Astyanax mexicanus: one gene and its partner. The protein of the gene in region 2 purifies or fractionates together with the protein of the main gene of each other region. This does not show direct contact. Links are inferred from orthologs where the notes say so. Each region holds a gene or a part of one and is shown on either strand. Other genes may lie near its edges.

Region 1 (6,683 bases), on a different chromosome or scaffold from region 2:
TTTTAACATATATTTTCAAGCCTGTAGAATTTGGGTTGATTCCTGTTACTGATCTTATATTATGAAGTGGGGCAGAGAGAAAACAGGCAGCTTCTCCGAGTGACCTGTAGGAGATTTTAAAACCCTCATTTTTTTTAGAAAGTAATTTTACTGCAGAAAAAAATTCTATTTCTTGTTTTTTTTTTTTTTTTTGGAGGGTATTGAACAATACAAAATACACAAAGAGAGGAAAATACAAAGCAAAAAAGAAAAAATATTTTCTTAAAAGATCTTAAAAGTGTATTTCCTGAGTGTATTTTTATACAAAAAGAGTTTTTTGGGGAAAATTATGGAAATGATTTTGGTGTTGATGGTGTTGTTTTTTCCTCTGCATGTGTTTTTGCCTAAATGTCTTTTCTTGTTAAAATTGATGACTGGCTGTGTTTATAAATTTTAAAGGACGTGTGGAATTGAGTCTTCAGTACTTGAAGTGTTCTCATTGGTTGTTTTGTATGTTGTAAAAACTGTGATGTTAATAGGCTTGTTCGATTTTACGTGGCTTCTGACCGAGCAGAGTCTGGAGGAAGAGTGGAGAGACACACAGTCCAAGCTGATCGAGGTCTAGTGTGAAGTTTCCACCAATCAGTGATGGTTTGGAGAGTCATGTCATCTGCTGGTGTTGATCCACTGTGTTCATCCAAAGTCAGCGCAGTGTTTTCCCTTACAAATCTTACAACTTTTATGGAGTAGCAGATTTCATTTTCCAGCAGGACTTGGCACACTGCCCACACTGCCAAAAGTGCCAATTGGTCTTATATAATATTCACATTTTCTGAGAATGTCATTGCCTGTAAACCATAATCATCAACAAAAAAATAAATAAATGCTTAAAATAGATCACTCTGTGTATCTGTGTTTTGAAATGAAACACTGAAATAAAGTAACTTTTTTGAGATATTATTTATATATATATATATATATATATATATATATATATATATATATATATATATATATATATATATATATATATATATATTTGTATGATTCTGCAGCGGAGGCTGATGTTCTACCATAAAACATAACAGACAACATTCTCGTTTTTTCAGAGCCGACAGGGTACCTTTAGATGTCTGGCTGTGTCCGTCTGGCTGCTGGACCTTCTCCCCCTGGTCCTCCTTCTGCCCCCTGGCTCTCCTCAGCAGCACCAGCAGGGCCACCAGCACAGTCCCCAGCAGCATGGCCAGACACAGGCCCAGCAGAGCGTACACCAGCACCTCTGAGTGGGGCACTTCTCTGGGCCTGTGGCTCCCCCTGGGGTCACGTGGCTGCAGTGCAGTGATGCTGCCAGGCCTTGTGATTCCAGGTGTGGGAGCACGAGCTGTAGACAGAGAGAATTGAGTGTGAGATATTGGAAACTGTGATGAAGAACGCTTTAAAAGGTGAAAATTTTGAGTTGTTAACAATGTTTCATGGACTTATTAGCAGTAATCACTACTGCCTCAATTATGTAAAACATATAGGGACCTATTTTTGCAATCTCCAGTCACTTTAGTGCAACACACAGCTTGATTTGTGGCGTGTCAGTGTGTCTTCGATATATTCACAAGCACTGTTGCTATTTAAACAATGCAGGTGCAAACTTTTTTTTCCTTTTACAACTGTGACATTTAAAGAACTGTATGCATTCATTCACTTTACCCTTAAGCCTTAAGCTTTTATACCTCTATATTTTTGCACTAATGTTTATATTGGTCCCATTTACAATGATCCCCCTCACTATTGCACTATTATCTTGTGTCTCTTGTCTTAAGTATGTATATATCTGTGGCCTTGTTGTATTGTACATTTAGTGTATTGTGTTCTTTTATATTTATATTTTATCTTGCTGTACTTGTTGTAACTTTTGGGAAGAAGAGTAACATGATTTCAATCCTCTGTATGTCCTGTACATATCGTCACTGTCCAATAAAAAACAAGTATCTGCATTTTTGTCCATTTTTAGTTTAGTTTAGTTTGGCAGTGGTAAATAATCAGTATTTAGCATTCAGTAGCAAATATTCATCAGTCTGTAGTCAATAATCACTATTTAATATTCAGTAGTCTGTATTTATTAGTCAGTAGTCAATAATCAGTATTTAGGATTTAGTTGTAAGTATTTATTAGGCAGTGGTCAGTAATCAGTATTTAATATTCAGTAGTCAGTGTTCATTAGCCTGTAGTCAGCAAATAATCGTCAATAGTCAGTAATTAGTATTCAGTATTCGTTAGGCAGTAGTCAATAATCAGTATTTAGTATTTAGTTGTAAGTATTCATTAGGCAGTGGTCAATAATCAGTATTTAATATTCAGTATTCAGTGTTCATTAGTCTGTAGTTAGCATATAATCATCAACAGTGAGTAATTAGTATTCAGTATTCATTAGGCAGTAGTCAATAATCAGTATTTAGTATTTAGTGGTAAGTATTCATTAGGCAGTGGTCAATAATCAGTATTTAATATTCAGCAGTCAGTGTTCATTAGCCTGTAGTCAGCATATAATCGTCAGTAGTCAGTAATTAGTATTCAGTATTTATTAGTCAGTAATCAGTATTTAGCATTCAGTAGTCAGTATTCATTTAAAAGTGGTCAATAATCAGTATTTAGTATTGCCAGTATTTATTGGTCAGTAAATACAGGCCAGTATTTTGTATTCAATATTCATTTTTTCTGACTTTAAAACTACTTGACTTGACTTGATGAGGGCCCATAGAGTGAATTTGGGACACGGCCGCTGTGTACTTACTCGGACACTCTTGTGAGCACTCTGAGGGGTGGTGGCCACACAGCTCCGAACATTTCAAGCATTTCTTCAGCAGCTGGTCGTAGAACTGCCCAGATACAGCCTTACAGCTGAAGGCCACTGTAAACAGACAGTCAGAAGAGCTGTAATGAGACTGATCACAAAATCAGATCTTCATCAGTTTAATTACAAATGATCTACATCACCAGTTTAATCCAAGTACTGAATAGAAGGGAACAACATTGTTCTACCTCTGCCTCTAAGTTTGACTCTCTGTTGTCCCAACCCCAGCTGAAATAGAGATTCTGATTGGATCTGCCTCTTAGTTTGACTCTTTGTTTTGTCCCACTCCTAGTGGAAATAAAGATACTGATTGGTTCTGCCTCTGGGTTTGACTCTTTGTTGTCCCGCCCTTAGCGAAAATAGAGATTCTGATTGGTTCTGCCTCTGGGTTTGACTCTTTGTTGTCCCGCCCTTAGCGAAAATAGAGATTCTGATTGGTTCTGCCTCTGTGTTTGACTCTTTATTGTCTCACCCCTAGCAGAAATAGAGACTCTGATTGGTTCTGCCTCTGGGTTTGACTCTTTGTTGTCCCGCCCTTAGCGAAAATAGAGATTCTGATTGGTTCTGCCTCTGGGTTTGACTCTCTGTTGTCCCACTGCCAGCTGAAAATAGAGATTCTAATTGCTTCTGCCTCTGGGTTTGACTCTCTGTTGTCCCACTGCCAGCTGAAAATAGAGATTCTAATTGGTTCTGCTTTTGAGTTGAGATCTTTTTTGTACCACCCTCAGCTAACATAAAGATTCTGATTGGTCCTGCCACTGAGTTTGACTCTCTATTGTCTCACCCACAACTAAAATAGAGATTCTGATTGTTTCTGCCTCTGAGTTTGACTCTTTATTGTCTAATCCCCAACTGAAATAGAGATTTTGATTGGGTCTGCCTTTAAGTTTGGCTCTCTTTTCTTCCACCCCCAGCTGAAATAGAGATTCTGATTGGTTATGTCTCTGAGTTTGGCTCTTGTTGTCCCACCTCCAACTGAAATAGAGATTCTAAATTGGTTCTGCCTCTGAGTTTGGCTCTCTTTTGTCTCACCCCAAACTGAAATAAAGATTCTGATTGGTTCTGCCTTTGAGTTTGACTCTCTATTGTCTCACCCCCAACTGAAATAGAGATTCTGATTGGTTATGTCTCTGAGTTTGGCTCTTGTTGTCCCACCTCCAACTGAAATAGAGATTCTAAATTGGTTCTGCCTCTGAGTTTGGCTCTCTATTGTCTCACCCCCAACTGAAATACAGATTTTGATTGGTTCTGCCTTTAAGTTTGACTCTCTGTTGTCTCACCCCCAACTGAAATAGAGATTCTGATTGGTTCTGCCTTTAAGTTTGGCACTCTTTTGTCTCACCCCAAACTGAAATAAAGATTCTGATTGGTTCTGCCTTTAAGTTTGGCTCTCTTTTGTCTCACCCCAAACTGAAATAAAGATTCTGATTGGTTCTGCCTTTGAGTTTGACTCTCTATTGTCTCACCCCCAACTGAAATAGAGATTCTGATTGGTTATGTCTCTGAGTTTGGCTCTTGTTGTCCCACCTCCAACTGAAATAGAGATTCTAAATTGGTTCTGCCTCTGAGTTTGGCTCTCTATTGTCTCACCCCCAACTGAAATACAGATTTTGATTGGTTCTGCCTTTAAGTTTGACTCTCTGTTGTCTCACCCCCAACTGAAATAGAGATTCTGATTGGTTATGTCTCTGAGTTTGGCTCTTGTTGTCTCACCCCCAGCTGAAATAAAGATTCTGATTGGTTCTGCCTCTGAGTTGTTAGCAGTGTGTTACTCACCACAGAAGTCTAGGCAGCGAGTGGGGGGGTCAGGGTTATCACACACCAGCTGACAGGGCATGCACTGTTTTAGCAGGCGGTCCAAGTACTGTCCTCCAGCACAGGTTCCTGCCATCGCTCCTCACCATACTCACACCTGCACACATACCTTTAATCTTTACTAAACACACTACTGACACACTTACACAACGCTTAACCACTTCAGAACACACTGAAAACTGAATCGGAGTCTGTTGTCCATAGTCAGTAAATAGTAGTTATTCAGTATTGATTAATTGATCAATTAATTGATTACTGACTAAAACTGCTGATAATCAATTCTCTACAACAAAATACTGATGAATGATGCCCTAGTTGTTATTCAGCCAGTAAGCAGTATTCTGCAGCCAGTAAAATATTGGCAAGTAATCAGTGTTAGAGTGTTAGTATTGAAATCAGTGGTCAGTAGTTAATACTAGCCAATTCTCAGTATTTTATAAGTCAGTTGTCACTTTTTACAAGTCAATATTCATGAGTCATCAGTCAGCATTCATTAAGCTATTATTACATTAATTAGTATACCATAAGAATTAGTCAGTAGGCAATAATCAGTTTTCAGTAGTCAAAATGTATTAGTCAGTTGTCAGTTTTCAAAATCAATATTCAATAGTTATCCTTAAGTATTTATTGCACTATGATTACGTTAATCAGTAGACAGTTTTCATTAATTAGTCAGTAGTTTATAATCAGTATTTAGTATTCAGCCATCAGTATGTATTAGTCTGTATTCTGTAGTCAGTATTCAGTAGTCAATAACCAGTTTTTATTTTGTATATTATTATATTTAAGTAAATATTCATTAGTCAGTACTGTATAATCAGTATATAGTATGCTGTTGTCAGTATTTATTGGTCTGTAGTCAGTATTAATCAGTATGTAGTCAATAATCAGTATTTAGTATTCAGTAGTCAGTATTCATTAGTCTGTAGTCTGTATATAATCCTCAGTAGTCAATAATCAGTATTTATTATTCATTATTCATTAGTTTGCTGTCAATAATCAGTATTCACTAGTCAGTAGTTAGTATACATCCGGCTGTAGTCAATAATCAGTATTTGGTATTGTCAATATTCATTAGTCTGTAGTCAGTAATATATTAGCCAGGAGTCAGAAATAGTGCTTAGTATTCAGTATCCATTTGCCAGTGGTAAATAATCAGTATTTAGCATTCAGTAGTAAATATTCATCAGCCTGTAGTCAATAATCAGTATTTAGTATTTAGTTGTAAGTATTCATTAGGCAGTGGTCGATTATCAGTATTTAGTATTCAGTAGTCAGTGTTCATTAGCCTGTAGTCAGCATATAATCATCAACAGTCAGTAATTAGTATTCAGTATTCATTAGGCAGTAGTCAGTAATCAGTATTTAGCATTCAGTAGTCAGTATTCATTAGAAAGCAGTCACTAATCAGTATTTAGTATTGCCAGTATTTATTAGTCTGTAGTCAGTATATATTAGCCAGTATTTTGTATTCAATATTCATTCGGCAGTGGTCAATAATCGGTATTTAGTAGTGGTCAATAATAAGTATTTATTATTTAGTAGTAAGTATTCATTAGTCTGTAGTCAGTATATATTAGCCAGTATTTTGTATTTAGTAGTAAGTATTCATTAGTCTGTTGTCAATAACCAGTATTCAGTAGTCAGTATTCATTAGAAAGTGGTCAATAATCAGTATTTAGTATTGCCAGTATTCATTAGTCTGTAGTAAGTATATATTAGCCAGTATTTTGTATTCAATATTCATTCTGCAGTGTTTAATAATCGGTATTTAGTAGTGGGCAATAATAAGCATTTAGTATTCAGTAGTAAGTATTCATTAGTCTGTTGTCAATAACCAGTATTCAGTAGTCAGTATTCATTAGTCTGTAGTCAGTATACAATTGTCAGTAGTCAGTAATCAGTATTTAGTTTTCAGTATTTATTAGACAGTAGTCAACTATTTAGTATTTAGTACTGAGTATTCAGTAGTTATAGTCTAACAGCAGTTCATAAAAAATATACAGAAACACGTTGTAATGATGTTTGAGTGATATTTGCCTGG
Region 2 (6,683 bases):
ATGGTAGTAGTAGCAGTAATAATGGCAGCAGTAATGGTAGCATAAGCAGAAAGATAAGATAAGATAAGTAAACAGGGGATAATGCACATAATCCTTACTAGGGTTTCAAAATATTGGAAAAAAATAACATTGCGATATTTTGTGGTTCTTACTGATATATATATATAAAAAAGAAAATACAGGTTTTTCATAATATTCATAATATAAGAGAATCTGTGTGTCAATGATTGGAGTAAAATAAATGCCATAAGATAAATACAGTAGTTAATCTGGCACCTACTGTCGTGCAAGATGAGAACAGTGTGAAAAAAAAAATCCTTGACAAATCCTTGCACATCTTGCAGTGAGACTGTTGCACATGTGTACATTGCGATATCAATGCCGAAGCAATATATTGTGCAGCCCAAACCCTTACTCTTGCAGAGCAGTACACAGTAAACAGTTATATTGCATATAGTAGACGGTTGTATTCAACATGACTTTACAGTAGAGACAGTAAAGTTTGGTCTGCAGAGTGAGAGAGATGTAGTTTCACACCAGGAAGTTGTGTCAGGGCAGTTGTTTTTTGCTTTATCCAAGCGAGTGTATATTTATCTATAATTCAGCTGTTTGAGGTGGATTTCCAATATATTTGTGAAAGAATCTGAATTAGGCTAACACAAGGCTAATTTAAGCTTTTGACTATGAACATGTTTGTTGGGATGTATATAGACATTACTTCCGTAGGTGTTATAGTAATACATGTAAGAGTAGTGACAGCAGTAGATGTTATAGAATTACTTGTAAGAGTAGTGACAGCAGTAGCAGTTAAAGTAATACTTGTAGTAGTGACAGTAGTAACTAGCTGTTGTAGTTATTAGAGCAATACAGCAGCAGTAGCAGCACTGACAGTGGTTGTAGTACCTGTTACATTATTACTGTTACAGCAGCAGTTGCTGTAGTAGCTGTTACAGCAGCAGTAGCAGCATTAACAGTAACTACCTACAGTAGCTGTTACAGTAATGCAGCAGCAGTAGCAGCACTGACAGTAGCTAAAGCAGCTGTTACAGCACCAGTAGCAGCACTGACAGTAGCTGTAGTAGCTGTTACAGCAGCAGTAGCAGCACTGACAGCAGCTGTAGCAGCTGTTACAGCAGCAGTAGAAGCACTGACAGCAGCTGTAGCAGCTGTTACAGCAGCAGTAGCAGCACTGACATTAGCTGTAGTAGCTGTTACAGCAGCACTAGCAGCACTGACAGCAGCTGTAGCAGCTGTTACAGCAACAGTAGCAGCACTGACAGTAGCTGTAGTAGCTGTTACAGCAGCAGTAGCAGCACTGACAGCAGCTGTTACAGCAGCAGTAGCAGCACTGACAGTAGCTGTAGTAGCTGTTACAGCAGCAGTAGCAGCACTGACAGCAGCTGTAGCAGCTGTTACAGCAGCAGTAGCAGCACTGACAGTAGCTGTAGTAGCTGTTACAGCAGCAGTAGCAGCACTGACATTAGCTGTAGTAGCTGTTACAGCAGCACTAGCAGCACTGACAGCAGCTGTAGCAGCTGTTACAGCAACAGTAGCAGCACTGACAGTAGCTGTAGTAGCTGTTACAGCAGCAGTAGCAGCACTGACAGCAGCTGTTACAGCAGCAGTAGCAGCACTGACAGCAGCTGTAGCAGCTGTTACAGCAGCAGTAGAAGCACTGGCAGCAGCTGTAGCAGCTGTTACAGCAGCAGTAGCAGCACTGACATTAGCTGTAGTAGCTGTTACAGCAGCACTAGCAGCACTGACAGCAGCTGTAGCAGCTGTTACAGCAACAGTAGCAGCACTGACAGTAGCTGTAGTAGCTGTTACAGCAGCAGTAGCAGCACTGACAGCAGCTGTTACAGCAGCAGTAGCAGCACTGACAGTAGCTGTAGTAGCTGTTACAGCAGCAGTAGCAGCACTGACAGCAGCTGTAGCAGATGTTACAGCAGCACTAGAAGCACTGACAGCAGCTGTAGCAGCTGTTACAGCAGCAGTAGCAGCACTGACAGTAGCTGTAGTAGCTGTTACAGCAGCAGTCGCAGCACTGACAGCAGCTGTGGGTTCAGTGTGTGTACTGCAGTCTTACCTGGTACCTGCCGGTCATTAGTTGGTTCCTGGACGGGGTGCAGAGCGGCTGGACATAATACCCGTCCAGCCGGACCCCCGCTGCAGCCAGCCGGTCCAGTTCCGGGGTCCGGATCTCAGAGCCGCGAAAACCCACATCATTCCAGCCCAGATCATCCGCAAGTACGAAGACCACGTGCGGAGGAGAACCAGCTCCCCTACACACACTCACACACACACTCACACACACTATCAGGGTCTTTACCCAAACCTGCACCATCATACCCCTCTACACTCAGCACCAACACACACTCACTACTTCCTCATACTGTCCCGCGCACAGTCTGCTCATCTCTCTCACTCGCACTCTCTCTCTCTCACACACACACTCACAAGCGGACGGTTGGGGAAGTGTCTATAAAAGTACAACAAGTCTGCCCCTTCACTACATTACCCACAATCCTACGCTTACTTACAGGCTGATCACTCGACTCTGCTTGCTTTACACTGTATAAATACAAATACAAATACAAATACAAATACAAATAATAATAATAATAATAATAATAATAATAATAATAATAATAATAATAATAATAATAATAATAAGTATTAAATATTAAACATAATAATAAATATACTAATAATAATAATAATACATATTAAATATTAAACATAATAATAATAATAATACATATTAAATATTAAACATAATAATAATAGCACGTTTCACAGCGTTTTTATAATTTTTTTTATAAAATTACTGCAACTGCAACTGTTAAATTTGTTTACTACATTGTATATAAAATAATTTTATTATATTAATTATATTATAGAAAATCTACCATCAAACTCTACTGGTTTTGCTCTTTTCTAGATTATCTTCTTTTTCTTTTGTTAAACAACTTTTATCTTGATGTGTATTTCTTTACAGTGCATCTGTGCATTAAATATTCCATATAATTAACGAAATTTACTTTATATTTTTTTATTTTACTTGAATCTCTCTACTTAGTTCGTGTTTTTTTAATTCGGTGATTTAATCACCTTTTCGCCTTTTTTATTTTGAGTTCATTTTTTCACTAAGAGGACTTTTATTGTAGCTGTGCCGCCATTGCGCTGAGGGCCTGCAGTAGTGTGGTGTTTGTGTGCGCGCAGAGGATCCCGGAGCAAGGAAGCGGAGCGAGGATAAGGCAGTTAAACACAGGATTATTAAAGCCCCCGGAGAGAATCGGACCACCGGGAGCCGTAGGAGCGATTGGAGCGGGCAGAGAGGGGATGGAGGCCGGGGACGAGGCGAGCGGCCGCAGCGCAGCTCAGCGCCGGGCGGAGAGCAGGCGGAGGAGGCTGCTGCAGAACTCCGAGCAGAGGATGAACAGAATAGTGGGCTTCGGGAAGGGCGACGCGGATAGCAGCGGTCAGCACATTCATACAGAGAGCACATTTACACCCTAAACCAGTTAATGAACCGGGGAGGCCTGCTTATTCCTCAGGTAGTTACTGGGATTTACCGGTCTGCCTTACATGGTGCAGAAGGTAACTAACCCTGCTCCATTCAGGCGCCCCAGTTACTCTATCTCATAATGAGGAGTCAAATTCAGCTTAATCCCATTCAGCGCTTAGGGCTGGGCGATATGGCCGTGAAATAATATCACGATATTTCAGGGTGTTTTTGCAGTAATTCTTTTAAATACATTTCAAGAGTATACTTCTGCAACAAAATACATATAAATGTTTTATTTAGTACAAATTTATTCAGCTGAAACAAAATCTATAAATGTCTATTTTCTAGACAGTAGTTTACCAAGACTGTAGTGTTACAAAATTAAAAAAGGTAACAGAAATAATGTAATATAAACACAAACATCTACCACAGAACTTAAGTCCAGCTTAGTTAGTGCCTACATATAAACTGCAAACTATTAATAGAACAGTAAATGGCAAAACATAAAAAAATGATTGTGTATGACAAAATATAGCACACCCCTACTACACACTGTCCATTCCAACAGTATAGGAATATCCTTACTAAGGAGTGAATTGTGTTTTTTTTAAGGTGCACATATTGTTTTTGCCTTCTTGTGTTTGTTATAAACAACAAAACAACGTCTGTGAACACAAAGGAGTTTTCTAGGCTGTGGTTCTTTATGGACATGAAAGCTGTTCACACTTGAAAGTAACAATAATTATTTAGAATAAAATTAAGTTATTTTAGTATTTTTATTATTTTTTATTATAATAAAAAATAATAATACTTCTAATAACACTAATAACACTTTCTAATACTTTTTATACTAATAATACTTTAATACTAATAATACTTTCTAACACTTTTTTTTTTTTTCTAATAACACTTTCAACTGTTTCCCTTTCTCCGTCTTTCACATAGAAGCCCGACACACGATGGAGCCTCGCTTCCACCTAGACCTGGACCCAAATGATGCCTGGACGCCACCGGTGTCTTCTAAGCGCCTCTCTCCATACATCTCTGAGACGGGTGGCAGCAAAAACACAACCCCCAGCAGCACCCCTGAAAGGCGGGGCTCTCCCCTGCCGGACAGCAGAGAGGACCTGGGGGAGGATGACCTGTCCCGTGGGGTGCGACAGCGGCCACGGGGAGAGCTGTCCAGTGATGAGCACTCGCGCTCTCCTCGAAGGGGCCTGCAGAAGTACCTGTCCCGCTTTGACGACGCAATGAAGCTGCGGGGTCAGCTAGCGAACGAGAAGGCGGCACAGGACAGCAGCTCTGACCCGGAGGAGCTTGACCCCTTCCGTCTCTTCCGGCTCACCGGGAGTGTCCTTTTAGCTGTCTTTGTACGCATCTTCGTCTGCCAGTACTTGGTGAGTTGATGTTCTGAAAGAAATGCAGTTTGTTGTCAAAATGTGGAATTGTTTTAAAACTAGAGGAGGGGCGTGTGGTGTTTTTTTTAAACAGAACTTACAGAATCGATTCACTTTTTCAAAGTACTCAATAACCTTGGAGCTACCTGCTGGATTAAACACAAACACAGTTTCAATATTGATGTTTTAAAAAAAAAAAAAAAAAAAAAAAAAGAAAAGAAAATCTTGCTTTGGTTTAGAGGCAACTTTCCCTAATGGGGTAGCCAGTCTAATCCAAAGAGAGCCAAAGTCCTCCCACTGGGCCGAGTTTCGCAGTCAAAGCTATCCTCTATGGATTCGACTGGACACTAAGGCCTCAGATGAAGCTAAAATAGCTTCACAGAACATTAGGTATGCACGTTCCCTAGGTGTTTATAAATCCACTTTGTTTTTAGATTAGAACTGGTTGTATGTATATAGAGTTTAGATTACTCATTATTTTGTATAATTGTATAGTATAATTGTGCTATTATTAATTGTTCTGTTATTCTTTGTGCTATTATTTCATTTAAATCATGATAGCGTATAAACATTAATTGATATTACCATTGTTATTGCTTGTGTTTATGTGATGGTTTACTTTCTTTTTTGCAGTCAATATTTGCACCGTTTCTCACTCTGGAGCTGGCCTACATGGGGTTATACAAGTACTTTCCAAAGGTGCGTCATTACATCACGTTCAGCAATTTAAAGCAGTTTAAAGCTGATCTATCTAATCTCTGTATTACTCCAGGCTCAACGTACAAAAAAATCACAATGTAACTTGGGCTTTCTTGTCCAGAAATGCATTTGTAAACCCTGTCCAGTAAAAGTGACTTAAAAATCACTTTCCAACAAAAGCAGGGAATACCAATCTTCATCTCCACCCACTACACGTAGACTGTGCATTATAAACAGTCACACAGTACCCAATAACACTCACGCACTCAAATCACTCAATAAAAAAAATCTATTCAAACACCAATTATTTATTAGTGTCAAAAATTTACGGTTACATTTTATGTGTTTCTGTTGCGTTGTTCACAGCAATGTAATTTGGCCTCCTCCACACATCTGGATATTTTTTAAAACAGTTCGTCTGCCTCTCATCCACAAAAAAAATCATTTTGTGTTAACGTCTCTCTTTATGAGGGATGTTTACCCATACAGGCTAGCATGCTTATTCATGCTTATTCAAGTGTTATTCAAAGCAGACATTGAGGAAAGCGGCTGACAAACAGATATGTAGCCATAAAATGTATACAAGTGGGCAGAGGTTTGTGTTTATCAAATATTTTGGTTCTAATTTAAGTGGTTATTTAATATTTGTGATTTTTCTGTTTCTTTCTCTCTCAGGTGGAGAAAAAGTCAAAGACCACTGTCCTCACTGCTGCCCTCCTGCTGTCCGGCATTCCGGCTGAGGTCATTAACCATTCCATGGACACTTATCGGAAAATGGGCGACGTGTTTGCCGACCTCTGCGTGTATTTCTTCACCTTTATCATGTGTCACGAGCTCATCCTCTTGTTCGGGTCTGAGTCATCGTGATGGGTGGAGCATCGTTACAGTATGAAGGGCTGAATGCTGCCTGACCCTTTTACTTGTGCCGCTTTGTGAGCAGTTTTAGACCTTTCTCCTAAACCAACCCAGCGGCCTCTGAGCTTCAGAGCAGACCAGTGGGAGAAAATAATTTATTCTGAGCTGTAAAAATCTGTTTAACTTCAGCTGACGACACTAAGCTGGTTACCACACTGGTCAAT

What was found.
Region 1: the proteins of camlg (region 2) and tumor necrosis factor receptor superfamily member 13B purify together in Homo sapiens (affinity purification with western blotting; 3 studies listed by BioGRID and IntAct, with this or other methods). This does not show direct contact. The link is inferred for Astyanax mexicanus from reciprocal best matches to the Homo sapiens genes CAMLG and TNFRSF13B.

What each region holds. Positions count from the first base shown.
Region 1 is NC_064422.1:7,888,655-7,895,337, forward strand, and holds the start of tumor necrosis factor receptor superfamily member 13B, read right to left. Parts: upstream 4,733-6,683; 5' UTR 4,716-4,732; coding exon 4,601-4,715; intron 2,882-4,600; coding exon 2,765-2,881; intron 1,361-2,764; coding exon 1,103-1,360; intron 1-1,102. UniProt on the Homo sapiens protein: Receptor for TNFSF13/APRIL and TNFSF13B/TALL1/BAFF/BLYS that binds both ligands with similar high affinity. Mediates calcineurin-dependent activation of NF-AT, as well as activation of NF-kappa-B and AP-1.
Region 2 is NC_064424.1:33,512,053-33,518,735, reverse strand, and holds the start of camlg (calcium signal-modulating cyclophilin ligand), read left to right. Parts: upstream 1-3,163; 5' UTR 3,164-3,342; coding exon 3,343-3,481; intron 3,482-4,453; coding exon 4,454-4,905; intron 4,906-5,538; coding exon 5,539-5,604; intron 5,605-6,279; coding exon 6,280-6,471; 3' UTR 6,472-6,683. Other genes in the region: arylsulfatase B, read right to left, coding at 2,087-2,347. UniProt on the Homo sapiens protein: Required for the post-translational delivery of tail-anchored (TA) proteins to the endoplasmic reticulum.